Alligator mississippiensis: one gene and its partner. The protein of the gene in region 1 purifies or fractionates together with the protein of each later gene. This does not show direct contact. Links are inferred from orthologs where the notes say so. Each region holds a gene or a part of one and is shown on either strand. Other genes may lie near its edges.

The links. Proteins that work in one complex are often made in the same cells at the same time.
Region 2: the proteins of KIAA0232 (region 1) and DYRK1A purify together in Homo sapiens (affinity purification with mass spectrometry; 3 studies listed by BioGRID and IntAct, with this or other methods). This does not show direct contact. The link is inferred for Alligator mississippiensis from reciprocal best matches to the Homo sapiens genes KIAA0232 and DYRK1A.

What each region holds. Positions count from the first base shown.
Region 1 is NC_081825.1:26,191,749-26,198,895, reverse strand, and holds the start of KIAA0232 (uncharacterized protein KIAA0232 homolog), read left to right. Parts: upstream 1-4,131; 5' UTR 4,132-4,363; intron 4,364-7,147.
Region 2 is NC_081824.1:295,213,507-295,221,454, forward strand, and holds the start of DYRK1A (dual specificity tyrosine-phosphorylation-regulated kinase 1A), read left to right. Parts: upstream 1-4,941; 5' UTR 4,942-5,025; intron 5,026-5,283; exon of another isoform or gene 5,284-5,550; intron 5,551-7,948. UniProt on the Homo sapiens protein: Dual-specificity kinase which possesses both serine/threonine and tyrosine kinase activities. Exhibits a substrate preference for proline at position P+1 and arginine at position P-3.

The sequences.
Region 1 (7,147 bases):
ACAGTAAAGTTCTATTAATTATGTATAAGGTTGTTGCAAAATCTGAATAAAATAAAGCTCAGTTAAATTCTGATGCAGAATCTATTGAAGCCAATGTGATTCTTTTATTTCAATTTATCAGTCCCTGATGAAGATTACAGGGTGGCATGGCATTGTAGTGCTATGGATACTGCTTACTTTTCTATTGTGTAGTGATGTTATAAGGAAAGTGCGCTCAATGACAGGGAGCATAAGACTTGATCTACTATGAAGGGTTGAATGAGGGCCTTTTGAATGCAGCTGAATGTTACTGTGTTCTAGTCTTCACTTTGAGGTGTAAACTTTTTGCCTGGGTGCTTACAGCAAGATGGAGACACATTGTTCAAATTTTAGAGTACCTCTGTTGTAAAGAATTGTAAACTGAGGTTGTGCAAACTATCATACAATTATGCAAACTAGTTTCAATAGGAAGATGATTACATAATTGAAAATCTGTTAGTCATGATATCCAATAAAATACAAAGGATGTGATCATCTATGACAATTACTCTCTTTTGGAGTTGCTTTGAAACTTTAAATACATTTTGACTTTTACAATCTCTCTTTGTTTAGTTTATAGAGTTGGATTTGGAATCTCTAAAATGAGGAAATCTTCTTTGCTCTTTAGAATTATTTTCTGAAGATTTTTTTATTGTATTTTTATAGTGCCAAATGGATAGACTGCTTTTTGTGAGTATTTCATGTGGAAGCTGTAGGAAGTGTGAACAACAGTGGACATTCTAAAGTTGGTTATCATGAGCTTGGGTGCATCTGCATGTCACTGTATGGCGATGTTGCTACAGCACCATGCTTTAGTACTTCCTTTGCATCGCACAGTATGGGCAGCTACTTCACTGTGTGCATGGGACACAGTTAGATATCACCGCTATACGGGTGGGGGCTCTGCTATAGCTGGTGATCACGTGTAGACCTGTGTGATTGCTATATCGCCGTAGCATGCTGTACGGCGACATATAGCGCATTGCTATGTCACCATAGGGTGACATGTAGATGTGCCCTTTCAGTAATACAGCTTAAGATACCTATTCAGAGAAAATAAAGTTTTGATTCTCATACATGGGACTTTTTAAGGCACCTTATACTGGGAAGTAATGTGAGAGGCTTACAATAAAATACAAGTCATGATCATACAACATACAACTTGTTTTCACATGGATACATCTCCAAAAGCAGAAATAACTTGATTCCAAATGCTTGATTTCATGTATGTTCATCAATATACTTTTTTTTTCTTTGCTCTGCAACAGGGGGCAGAAATGCAACTTGCCAAAGCTCTGCTTGCCACTGAAGATCTGCTTTCTGCTAAAAGCACAGACCATCTGTCATCAAATACTAATTCATTCTGGCACTCCCCACAAATCATATAATTCTCCTCCCCACAAGCATGCCTACTTAATTCAGCTCCTCCACATTTTACAAATGTTTGCACAGCCCCAACTTTCAGCTGATGCAGATCACTCATAATGCAGCTGATAGACACCACAGTTGATAGACATACATTACAAAATCCTCTCCCCAGAGCTTCCTGACAATTATAGACCACCTGAAAGAGCCCCACCCATCTGATTTAGGATTCACCCACAAACCTACTCTACAGCTGATATGGCCTCCCAAGTCTGTGAGCTTCATCTCCCTTCTGGACTTGAGAGACAGACAGACCTGGGGGGAAGGAGGGGAATCATCATTTCGCACCATGACTATGGAGTGATTAAGAGCTACTGCTACCCCATTCTATGCGTACACATTCCAGCTCTACATTTTCTGAGAAAGGGCTCTAACCGTTTCACATGCAGAGGGACCAGCTGCTCTGCTACACTTAAAGCAGCTTTGATTGGCCAGTGGGTCAGTTTGGCAATGAGTTCACAAGAGCATCAATATGGCATATGGTCATACACCAGCTGTTTCTCCAGTGTTCTCCAGTGAGGCCCAAACCAGGTTGGCTTTAACTGTGGTTGTAGCCAGGGATCACAGCGGGGAGAAACAGCCCACAAACAGCCACTTGTATTTTTCCAAGCTCTCGCCACAAAACAAGCTCCACTCGCTTGAGATGTCACTCATAGATTACACACACATTCAAAATATAATCATGCATGATTTGCTTGGATGCTCTGACTGGACTCTTCTCCAGAATGCTTGGAAGCACTCCTGGGCTCCTCACTGGTTTTTTTAGGGTTAGTAAATTAGGGAATTAAGCAAGAGTTAGGACTCACACATGAGTATCTGTGTTAGAAGTATGCACTACTTTCACCAGACTGTTTTTAAATAGATGTAGTTAAACTTGTGCCACCTTTTTACAGACAAATCCTTAGTGTCCTACATTTTACTAACGTTTACAAATAGAAACAGAAATGAGTTTAGATCTTGAGGACAGGCGCAATAAGAAATTTGACATCACCTGTCACTTGCTATAACACAGAAATGGAGAGTTAAAATAAACTAGTGGAATGACTCAGCAGAAAATAGTGATCACGTGTGGAGTTTTGGTTTCATTTGGGGAGGGTTTTTTGGCTCTGTGTCATAGTTCATAAAAACAACAACATAATTTGTAACTAAATGGAAAAGCTTCTCAGCCTGGAGTAGAATTATATCCTATAGGCACCAGGTTCAAATTTTTATAGACCTTCCTTTAAATACCTGTGCAACAGCAGAAGCCCTGCTGGAGCTAACTACTCATCTAGGACCAGCTATAGTATAGCCTAGCCAGTTTATACCCAAAAGCTTGTCTATATAGCTTGTCAATCCTTGACTCTCACAAAAATTACTGCAGGTTTTTGGGTACCTTACTTCAGAAACCTAATTCCTCCACTGCATGGGAGACTCAGTCCTTACTAGTCCTAATGGACAAGAAGACCCTTCCCCCCCCAGTTGAAAAAGTTGAGCCTGGGTTAGAAAAAGTCACATTGACTCTGAAAGACAAAGGCTGTCCAAAGGGGATCGGTGTGTTACATAAGCACAACTACCTATTTAAATTCACACTTTAGCTTTCCTCAGCTCCTGCTACACTTTACCTATATGACCCAACTCACTAATGAATGTGGCACAATAAGTTTAAACCAGGCCACAGGGGCAAAGTAAGACACACACGCAAAAAAAAACCCCAATTATCACACAATTATCTGGCTAATTGTACAGTAAGTGCAGACCATCCACACCTGCCAAATCATTGTCTAAAACAGGGTTTCTCAACCGGTGGGATGTGTCCCATTGGTAGGACACTAAGGCCCTCTAGGTAGGACTCGGGTTGCGGTGGTGGTGACGAAACCAGAAGCGCCACGGCGGGACTCCTGGTATCACTTTTGCACGCTTTGATTGGCTGCTGGGGGAGCTCCCCCCACCCCCCTTGTCAGCCAGTCGGACCAGCATTTGTTGACCGTACGTAGGTGAGACATAAGGTGCAAAAGGTTTGGGAACCAGTGGTCTAAAAAATGACTACCCTGCTTAAAAAAAAAAAAGAAGAAAAAAAAGAAAGTCAACCAGCTACAAAAGTAGTGCCTAAAAATGTGTAACCTTCGGGTTGTTGCAGCCCTGGGCAAGAGAGTCACTTGGGGCCCCTGACAGGTACGTACTCAGGTAAATATTAACTCACCACAGCTACATCGTGGATCTTTGTAATACTCTTTCGGGGAATTAAATAAATAGTCGCGTGTCAACATGCGAACACAGCCACTTCCTTGCAAAGACTTCACCCTCCCGCTCCCCAAAATGTGGGGCTTAAGGCAGTATCCCACTTTGCCCCTACTGGTGTAACAACCGGTTTCTAAGCCGCTTTCATGTGCAGGACCCCCAAGGGGAGGGCACCCCAGGTCTCCTGCCAGAAGGAGCTGCTTGACCCCTGGTTTTCGTGGTGGCGAGGCAGCAGCTGGCTCCGAGGCGGTGGGCGGGCGGACCCCCCGCGCACGGACAACACTGCTCTTGTACCAGCCCGCCGCAGCGCCGCGCCGCGCCGCGCCGGGGGGAGCGAATAGGGGCAGCACAGCAGCGCCCCCCACTGCGCCTGCGCCGCGGGCCGGGCCGGGCCGGACGCGGGCCGCCTGCGGGCGGAGGGATACGGGGCGGAGCCGCCGGCGCGGTCCGCCGGGGCGCTGAGTCCTGTTGCCGGGTGACGGCGCGGCCGGCCCCCTCCTCCCTCCCTCCCTTCCCCCCCCTCCCCCCCGTGGCGCTGGAGCCGCCGCCGCCGCCGCCGGTTTACGTAACGCCTCCCAGGGCAGGGCCCGGCTCCGGCCCGTCCCGCCCGCTCACTCGGGGACGGCCGCAGCGGGACGGAGTCCGCCGCCCGCAGGCCCCAGGGCCCCGCTCCGCGCCGCCGCCGCCGCCGCCACGGCAGGTAAACCCCGGGGAGGCGCCGCCGCTGCGTCAGGGGAGGCCGCTGCGGTCCCGCCGCGGGCCGGGGGCGCCGGGCAGGGCCGGCCTCGCGCGCTGGGCCGCGCCTGCACGTCCCGCTGCCCCGGGGCCGTCGCCGCGACCTTCCCCCGCAACCCCGGCCCCGGCCCCAGCATTGTCCTTTAGGGGCCTGCGGGAGGCCGCTGCCCCGGGAGGCGGAGCGGGGCGGGGGCAGATTGACGCGGGGCCCGGCCTGTGAGAGCGCCCCCCGGGCGGGCCCTGCGCGGCCGCAGCCTCTCGCCGGCGCTGGGCGGAGGGGGAGGGCGGCAAGGTTTGGCGAAGGTTACAGCTGAATGCAGAAGTGACACCGCCGGGTGCTGCCGGCTCGGCCCCGCGCCGCGCTGCCGCCGCCTCCCAAGCCCAGCCGGAGAGATGACTTCCCCGCCCCGCGCGCGGCCCCTTGGCTTCGTCCGGGGCCGGCGGGCTCCGCTTTTCCTCCTCCCACCCCGCCGTACTCAGCAGCAAGCGAAGGGCACTCTCTGTTTAGTCTTGTAGGTCGCGACGATTCGGCCCTAAGTTTTACCGAGTTGAAAACGAAAGGGGACCGGGTTGTCACCCCGCCCTGGTAGAGGTCGATCCCCCGGCCCTTGACTTTTCAGCCGTCTCTTGTAACAGCCTGTAGTGAGCCTTGCTGGGAATGACAGATCAAGTGCTGCTCCCCTCTTGCGTTTTATCAAAGGTTATTTTAGTATCGTTTCCTACGTGGGTGACTGGTGCCTCTTGAGTCTGGGGGGGCACCCGCAGAAGCCGGCATTGGCGGCGGGGCCGGCAAGCACCCGCAGAAGCCGCTGGCAGCGGGGATGGCGCTGTCAGGGACACGTGCCCACCACCCTTGTCTTTCTTTTTTTTTATTACCCTTTTAAAGCTTCACAGTGACATTGACTAGGGCAACTATCGCAACGTGATCCTGTATGGCCAGGAAAAGCAATTGGAAGTACTCTGTTTTGTCATTCAGAATGCTTTCTGGTAGTAATAGGTTATTATTTTGTACTGTCGTAGTAGCAAGGAAATAACCCAAGAGTATCCCTTTCTATTTTAGATGACACCCAACACACCTTGAACTTTTAGCATTTCCTCTGTATGTATTTGCTTCCTGCAGCAGTGGCAGTAGCAGGGATTTCAAGCTGCCGAATCAGTTGATCTGGAATTGGGGGGAGATGGGGCTTTGGGCCCCTTTTGGCCTACAATGTGCTGCTGAGCAGGGTGCTGTTCAGAATCAGGAAGAAGGTGGTGGTTTTAAAGCCTATTATTCTTCTCTTGTCATCTGCTGCCTCTTCAGTCTGTGCTCCCTGCTGCTTCAGTGGGGTGAGTGTTTATATGGATCTAGGATTTTGAAAGGGGGCATGGGGATAGAGACCAGCTGCCCCCCTGCTGCCCTGCCTTCTTCCCCCACCCCCCCTTCACTGCATGAGCCGCAGTCAGAGACCTTTCTTTTTTTTTTTTTTTTAAATCCCTAATGCAGTTGAGAAACCAAGGTGTCTTGGCCTGGCCTGCCTTACATAGTCAGTGACATGTCCCCTCCCTTCCCATTCTCCCTTTTCTCCTCTCTCATGTTTCTGGGCACAGGAAGGGGGTGACCTGCCCACTGCTGTCCTGACCCCTCCTGCCCTGCTCCAGGGGGAGCTGCAGGCAGTGGCTGCACGGGGATTCCAGGCTTGGTTGGGGGCAGCAGTGGCAGCAGGTGGGTTTCCCTTCCCTGTGCCTACTTTTGGTGTAGGAGTGAATACCTTGGGCTGCTGCCACTGAGCCCAGCTTTCTGTGAAGCTACTCTGTAGCTCTAGGGCTCCCCCTATACCTATGTCAGTGGAGTTGCACTGTCCTGTATCAAGAGCAGGCTGGAAGGAGGGGAGGTGCCTGCTGAGCACAGAGAAGGACTACTGAGGGAGGGTTGGATTCTTACCTGCTTTGGGGACTTAAACAAGCCCCCATTGTTGCTCCTGTGTCTCCGGACTGAGGCAGTCAGGGCCATGGGGAACCAGAGCTGCTTAGCTACAGCATGGAAAGTGGGGTGCAGCTGCACCACTGCACCTCCTGTGAATCTGCTCAGGGGTGAGCTGTATCCGTTTTCCTCTGAAGTAGGGAAATTCTAAGGGTACAGAGTAAAGAGGAACCTGCAGGCAGTAATTTCGAGTTAGATGGCATTATCCTGTGCTAATTTGCTCTGTGGTTTTAGTGGAGAAATAGAACAGAAAGAAAACGTTAGGCACCCTATCATCTAAGCCAGTGTTTCTCAACCCATGGGTCACGACCCATAAGAGGATCACAAGAATATTTGAAAGGGTCATGAACAATCACAGAAAAACTCAGGAAAGCATGGGTTTCCCCTTGCAGGCTAGCAGCATTCCAGCCTGCAAGGGGCTGCTTGGGGCTGGGGGGAGTGAGACACAGCAGGTGCCATGTGTATGTGCGTACGCACGCATGCATATGGCATCTAGGCAGGATGGAAAGCAGCTCCCCGCAAGTAAATCTATGGGGCATAGATGATGCGTCAGTTGGGGGAACACAGGTGATGCAGTGGGGGGGAGGGGAGGGAGTGGGACATTCCCCTGCCAGATTTGTACAGACATGGGGCTGCAGCTTGGCTGGACCAGCATGGGCAGGAGCTGCCTCCATGGCCCAGCAGGTGGGTCCTAGTGCAGGACGGTGGAGCGGGGCAGTAAGACTAGTTGCTGGCAGCTGGGCCATGGTGGTGAGTTAGAGCTGCGGCCCAATGTATGAGTGACTGGCG
Region 2 (7,948 bases), on another chromosome or scaffold:
ACATTGGAAAACAGTCACCGACAAAAATTAGTACCAAGCAGTGCAGAAATATGTACTACAGGCAAAGGGAAGGAATGGTTAAAGATAGTATTGCCTCAATTCTGAGAAACTGGAGATTGAAGAGGCGCATTCTGCAGTGGAGAATTTATTTGCTGACCACACCTAAGACATAACTGATAGGAACATTAGATGCCACAAGACAGTGGCCTCAGTGGCCTTGTTTAGTTTGCCTGCTACCTCACTCCTGTTACCATAGCTTTCATGCATGACGAATGTGGAAATGCTTTTGGATTTCAAATATTATCAATGTTATAAATATAAAACCAGTTAGAAAAAAAATAGATTACAGCGGTGGTACATACTGTGATTTTAGGCTTTCTAAAAAAAAATAGTAATCCATTGAAAGGTATCATTGACAGCAGGGGATTAACAATATTCAGTATCTTGTGGGGGTGGTTTCTGTTAGGAGAAGAAAATGAAGATAGAGCCACAGTGATTTAGATGCAATCCTGCTTATTTACAAATAAGGTATGCAACTTCCTGTTTCCTTGAAAACAGTACCTTTTCTCAGGGATGTGTTATAAATTGTTATCTGAATGTTTGTATTTCTTTGCTGCATTATCTTTTTTGCCTCTGATGTTTCTCCTGCCATTGTTTCTTAGTTAACCTTTTTTTCCTTTCCCCACTGTCTCCCCTCCTATTATATCCACCTGTTTCTATGAGGTTTCACTCAACTCCCAGCATAATGTCACTCCTTTCCATGCTTTCTTTTGCTCCCTATTCATAATTTCTTTTTATTCTTTTCTCATTCAGTTCCTTCTCACTTTCTGTGCTGCTTACCTCTTCATAAATGCTCAGACTCCTTTCCCACCCCTCCCAAAATAGTATACAGTTTTGCCTCAAACCCCCAAATTCACTCAGTGGCTCTCACTCACTATCACACAAACACCTTTCTCTCAAATATGGTAAATGCCAAGCCCATGAAAATTCCCTAAAAACTTGTTGGTACATGCAGCCTCTACCCCCACCCCAACCTTGCAAAACTGTTCACACACACACACCCACACACACAGAGAGGCAGGTTCCCCCAAAACTTAGTCCACATGTGACATACTCCATTGGCTTAGCCCACAGAGTTTATATGCATTCTCACTTATTAAAGCAAACAGGCTTCTCTCCTTCCCCAGTTCTTTCATATTATTTCCCCTGGTCATTAGCAATCCCTTTATTTGAGGATCTCTACCACTGCCCACTAATGGGTCTTGAGATGACTTAGGAGTCCAGTCCTTGAGCCATTTATCTGTCCACAGAAGTTACAAGTCCTTCTGTGGGGGAGAACAGGCTGTAGACTAGGATTTCTCTCCTTGTCCTTCCTCCACTTTCTGTTCTCTGGTTTGGGGGTTAGATGCTTTACCTTGAAGATGTCTGCTACTTGGTTAAAGTGGGACTGCTTGGCCTGCTGGCAGCTGCTCCCCCAGCTGCGGGAGACACGGGCAGACTCCACTGGAAAAAAAAAGGATCGGACTCCTTCAGGCACCTGCTGAAAGCAGAAGTGGCCAGGGACCCAATTCTTTTTTTCTGTGGAGCCTGCTCGCCTCTCCTGCAGCAGGTGGGGGGGGGGGGGGGGCAGGGGAGCTGACAGCTGGAACGCAACTACATCTGGATGTAGTTTACTTTACAATGATGCAAACCCCAAAACTGGTGCACATATAATATGTGACACCATTAAGCCACACAAATGACATTTTCGTCATGTGTACAAGCGCCTTAATATATCATTATGGGACAGGGAATATTCTCCCAATATTTACTAGCCTAAGGATATTCAGCGTGAGATTTGCAAAAACCAAAGACTGTTATGTGCCCAATCTGACTTCTGAGGGAACTGGTACTCTGACTCACATAGGAACTAGGGCTTGTCTATGAGAAAGTTATACTGGCTTAACCTAAGGTGTAAACAGAAACCAGTTTGGTTAACTGGGTGCAAACCCAAGCATGTGAACCTTGTTTTGGTTTGAGTTGTTTTTGTCCCCCCTTCCTGTCAGATTGGTGTACTTTGACTTTGTTCCTTATTGATTTCAAATGTCACTCAAACAAAATAATTGTCCATGAAGATAGTTGTACCAGTGCAACCTAATCAGTTTTAAACCTGATTTAAGTTAAAGTGGTACAAATTTCCCCATGCAGACTAGACTTAAGTTTATCAGGTGTGGTGAAGAAAAAAGGCAGTGTTGCAACATCTACAGCAATTTAAAGGAATAAAATAGTTGTGTATTTTATTATATTCTGCATATATTTATGTATATTACCATTCCATTCGATATATTTAGAAATATAACTTATTGCATTTCTCTCACTTCCATTCCATTTTTTCTTTCATCCATTCTGCTTTTTCTCCTTTTTCTTACAGTAGGTCACTAATGGTGGATCATAGTATCATAGTACTTAGGGTTGGAAGGGACCTAAACAGATCATCAGGTCCGACCCCCTGCCCTGGGCAGGAATGGGTGCAGGGATCATATCACCCCAGACAAATATCTGTCCAGCCCACTCTTGAAGACCCCCAAGGTAGGAGAGAGTACCACCTCACTTGGGAGCCCATTCCAGATCCTGGCAGCTCTAACTGTAAAGTAATGTCTCCTGATATCCAGCCTGAACCTTCTCTCTAACAAATTGTGGTCATTATTCCTAGTAACCCCATGTAGTGCCTGGGGGAACAGAGCCTCCCCCAATTCCCACTGATGCCTAGAAGTAGAGGTACAGACATGAACAAGTGTATACATGCGCACATTCCTTTCTCTTTCCTTCCCCACAACTTAATCAGGTTCTCCAAGTGTAAAACTTGGGACTCTTGAAAGCATATCCCACACCAAAACCCTTCTAGGGGTAAGAAAAGGGTTCTTGCTCTTTCTTGGTACCCTCACTTCCTAATGAGAAAATGTGAAACCCTGCAGTAAAAAGCAGAACAAATTCAGTAAGTTCCTAATGTTGACACCTGTTTTCTCCCAGTGACATAGAAAAGAATCATAGAAATCATAGAAAAGTTGGGCTGGCAGCGATGTTCAGGGGTCATCTAGTCCAAACCCCTGCCTAAGGTGGAATCATCTCATGTCAAACCATCCTATACAATCCATAATCTAAACTCTATATAAGACTGCTATCAACCCTGATACAGCAGACCTAACACCCTAACCTGCCACAGGTAAAGCAGGGGAACAATGACAGCCAATGCCCTGCTTCTGTGAATGATGATGTCAATATATGCTCAAGAGATCCTAGGTAGAGGGCCCCTCCCTCCAACAGACAGAGACAAAAACCCCTACAATCTTACCACAGGGTGAAATTCCTTCCTGCCCCCAAATCTGATGACTGGTCTGACCCTAAGCGTAGGGGCAAAACTCTCTAGCCAGGGACCGTTCATCCCAGCAGGAGCACTGGCACACCCCAGTCAATGTTCCCGGCCTTCTTTTTACCTCTCCCCCTGCAGATACTTTCCATCTACCTCTTACCTGCCTGTCTTATACATGGACCTAATCTATGCTATCAAGTCTTGCTGGCAGAACTCCTGCATACACAAGGTTCCCCAGTAGCAGCAGAAACCTCCACTTCTGCTGCATAGATCTTCCCGCACTCTCTGCTGGTGTTGTTCACCTTTTCAACCCATGACTCCTATCCATGCCCATTTCCCCTACCTCTGCTGCTTCCTCTGGTTTCCCCCAGTGAAGGGCCATTGCCACCTGATTTTCGCCAGACTAACACCTTCTTCTCCTCTCACTCTTCCTACACCTCAGACATCTCCTTCATCCAGCCAAGGTTTCTCCATCCTACTTCATCCTCCCAGGCCCAACAACTCTGTGAAAACTCCCCAGCTTAGATGCCTCCTCTTCCCAGTGAGGAAATTTTAGGATCACTAGGAAAAACTTCACAGTCAGGGTGTCCAGATTGTGGAATAAGCTCCCTCCAGAGGTGGTGTGATCACCTACCCTGGAAATCTTCAAGAGGACACTAGACAGTCACCTTGCTGGGGTCACCTGACCCCCAGTTACCTTTCCTGCTTGGGGCAGGACCTGATGATCTTCCAAGATCCCTTCAATTTAAGAAAATCTGCCCTCCCCTGCACCATAGCCCCTGCTCCACCCCACCCAAACGAGGTCATCCCCTTCTCAGCTCAAGGCCCTGTGTGTCCAGAGGCGAGTCCAGGCTCCTCATCCCCAGCATGGCAAGGACCTGCCTACACAAAGAGGCCTTCTGGGGCTACCATGCTGTGGATAACCAGCATGGAGAACACAGCCCTTTGCTCCTCCTGCCGTGTGTGTGAGCATGTGTGACAGTGTGAGAGTGCGTGTGCATGACTATGAGAGCATGTGAGCCTGTGTGACAGCCAGTGTGCATGTAAGCATGTGTTACAGTGAAAGCATGAGAGGGCATGTGTGTGTGGCCACAACAGTTGAGTGTGTGCATGTGCGTGACTGAGAACGTGATTGTGCATGTGACTGTATGGGAAAGCGTGTGACAGTGTGCATGAGTGTGAGTACGTATTTGTGACAGTGTGGGAGTGTATAAGTGTGTGCGCACTGCAGCCCAGCCCACTTCAGCGCCGGTGCGAGCAAGTGCCCGTGCAGCCCGCGCCGCTGGAGGCTGGGCGTGAAAAGGGTCTCCCCTGCCCCCCCCCGCTCCCAGCGGCCTGCAGCACCCGCCCAGCGCCCGCCAAGTTATACCACCACGTGACAGCCGGGCCAAAGGGGGGGGAACTGCGAGGGAACACCAGCAGTTACCAGGGCGACCAAGCCCCGCCTTCACCCCATTCCCTCCCTTCCTACGTCAGCGCGGTCTGCCCTCCCCTCCTAGCATAGACCGAGTCAGGGGCGGGGCCCTGGGCGGTGTGATTGACAGTCTCCATAGCAACAGGCTCGTCCCGTCGCCATTTTGTCAGTTGGCTTTTTTTTTTTTTTTTTCTTTTTTTGAAATCCTTCCCCTTTCCCGCCCGAACCGCCGGTTCCAACACTGGGGGAAAAAAAGGATTCGGTGCGTGACGGGGCGCGCGCATCCCACGCGCGGGGGGGATTGGCTGTGTATGTGTGTGTGTCAGCAGGGAGGTTCGAGGCGGGCGAGTGCGTGGGCCTGGAGGAGCAGCCGGCTCAGCTCGGCTTGGTGGGGGGAGGGGGAGGAGCGCGGCGCGCGCGTGCGGGGAGGGGGGAGCGAGCGAGGAGTTCCCGGGGCTCCGCCCCGCCCCGCCCGCCAACCGCCCCGGCTCGGGAGGGGGAGGGGAAGGGGACACCCCGTAGCCGTTGCCGCCGTTGCTGCCGCCGGCCGCTGCGCAGGTTGGGAGCGCGCGCCATTTTGTGAAGCCATCGACAAATCCGCCCGGTCGGGCAGCGCCGCGGATCCGCCCGCCGGGCCCCGCGCCGCCCCGCCCCGCGGCCGGCCGGCCCGGGCTGCGGGACCGCGGGCAGGCGCTGCAGGGCCCAGGCGGCGCCAAACCCACTCCCGCCGCCGCCGCCTGAGTGACGAGGCCCTGGCCCCGGCCCCGAGCGCCGCCGCCCGCGCACGGTAAGTGCCGCCGGCCGAGGCCCCGCTGCCATCTTAGAGCGGGGAGCTTGGGCACGGCCTGCAGCCGTGCGGAAGAGGAGGGGGCTGCCCGGCCCTGGGCAGCGGCACCGGCACCTGTTGCGGTGGCGGGACCCGGCTCCAGGCCGATGGGCTGTTCGCCCCCGTGAGGACGGGGTTCCCTGGTGAGGCCGGGCACAGCATCGCCCACCTGTTCCCCGCGCCCTCCTCCCGGCCCTGCCCGGCCCGGCCCGGCCCGGTTCCTCCAGCCCCGCAGTCCGCCGTGGGGGGGGTGCTCTGGGCTTCTTATCAACTTGCGAGTTGCCCCTGGATTGTTTGATGAAGGGTGTTGAAGGTTTGGCCCTCCTGCTGTTCCCCAGCCATCAGAGTGCTATGTTTTTATGCTTTTAAGATAAGGAACATAAAAAATTGTCACCCCCAACAAATCAGCAAGCTTCGTGTATTTCTTCACAGCAGCTTCCCCCCCCCCCGCGATAATGTGCTATTATTTATGGCCAGTACTGTATATATTTTTGCAAGAGGGGGCAGTCAGTGTCAAGCGGGGAGCATGCCAAGGTCTTGGAGGAGCAAACTTTGACACACTGTCGCTAAGGTGGCAACTTCTCAGTGGCCTTGCCTGCTTCCCTGAGAATGAGTGCTGGGGAGGACACCTGGGTGATGCCTGATGTCAAAACTGGTGCATTTTGTTTGTGGTCATAGTTAATAACCTTAAACATTAGTGAAAGCTGTTTAACTCATCACAAATGAGAATGGCGTAGCCCTCCTGACACGTTTGGCCAAAACTCCCCCCCCCCCCCCCCCCCCCCCCCCAAAAAAAAAAGATATAATTGAAATAATTATACTGTTCGGGAGTAAAGTTTTGTAAGTAATCCTGCATGTACCCATCTCGCGTTCAAATAGTTACTTGTCGATTGCTATTCTGGATATATTTAGTGAAACACATAAATAAATAGATTACTTTGTAGACTAGTGTCATCAACTCATAAAAATGAAGTATTTAAAGTCAAGGCGTGCGTTCATTTATTTGAAGTTTACATGTGTGATGTGTTAGATTTATGTTTTCATTCCATTTCAGTTTTTTGATACTTCTCTAGCAACAAATGTTCAAGGCTTTATGCAATCTGTGCATGGGTCTTGACAGTTATTTTTAATAAAAAATTGTTCCATGTTTGAAGTTAAATGAGAGCTGTTGCTTTTCTACCCTTCCAAATGAGATGGTTCCCTAATTTAAGTTTTCTAAATGTTTTTTTTTTTTAAATAAAAGTGCTTTGGTATTTGTTTCTAGGTGTCAGAAGTATGGCAGAATTATAGTTACTAAATCAGGGTTTGCATAGGTCTAGACTAGGTTGCCTTGAGATCCTTTAAAGGGTGCCACAGGGTACGATACAATGTTAGCTTAGTTGTGTGCTGGCATGATTCACAAGATAAACCCATAGATTTCAAATAGGAATCCATAACGGTAAAGCTGTTGTGGTCTTTCTGAGTTCTTTGCATCCAAAGACTTGCTACAAAAAAAAAAAAAAGAGTGAAACCTAGGAGTTGGGATTTTCTGAGGGGTGCCCTCAAAAGGTTTAGAACCAGTGGCTCAGGCCTTAACATCTTGGCTTTGCCATTGTGGACAGCTGTAGGGAAAGAGGAGCAAGAGCAGTTTTCTGAAATAGCGAAAAAAAGATTTCTCTGCTTGCTACGTGTGCTCCAAAAGAACTCCAGTTTACAACTGGTATTTCATTTTTGGTGTGAAGGCAGTGATGTAGTAGTGCCTGAGCATGTACCCATTTTTAGAGTGCTGTGGGCTTTATCTATAATAGGGTTTAATATATGAGGTTAATTGATGCATTCTAGCTGTTATTTTAATATCCTATGCAAGGCATATAGGACATGCTACCTTCACTATCTGGATGAAAGTTTTTAAAAGTTAGCCCGTGTTTGCTAACACATTCTGATAGCACACGTTAAAACCTTACTTTAGACAAGGCCTTAGCAAGAAACTTGTGACTGAGTTGAAAACATATACTACTTTTGTCCACAGATGATTCATCTGAGGACAGAAGTAGTGTATGTTTTCAGCCTCATTAGTTTAACAGGGTACTTTTTAATATAGAGGCTAACACATTTGCTTAGCTGTTTCTGTTGCCCACAGCACAACCAGCAAACGTAGGGGCGTATTAAACTTAGCTGAAAAGCATGCCCCTTTTCCTTTATAGCATACATACATTATTCTGAACAGAAATGGGTGGCGCATTCAAAGCTAAAATGTTCAGAAAACCAACTATGCTGCTATAGTTTAGGTAATGTCTTCAGTTTCCCTTCAGAAACTCTTTATTTTGAGGTGTTCATAATGTCATACTGAAAGTTGTGCTACCAGCTTAAGTTTGGAAGC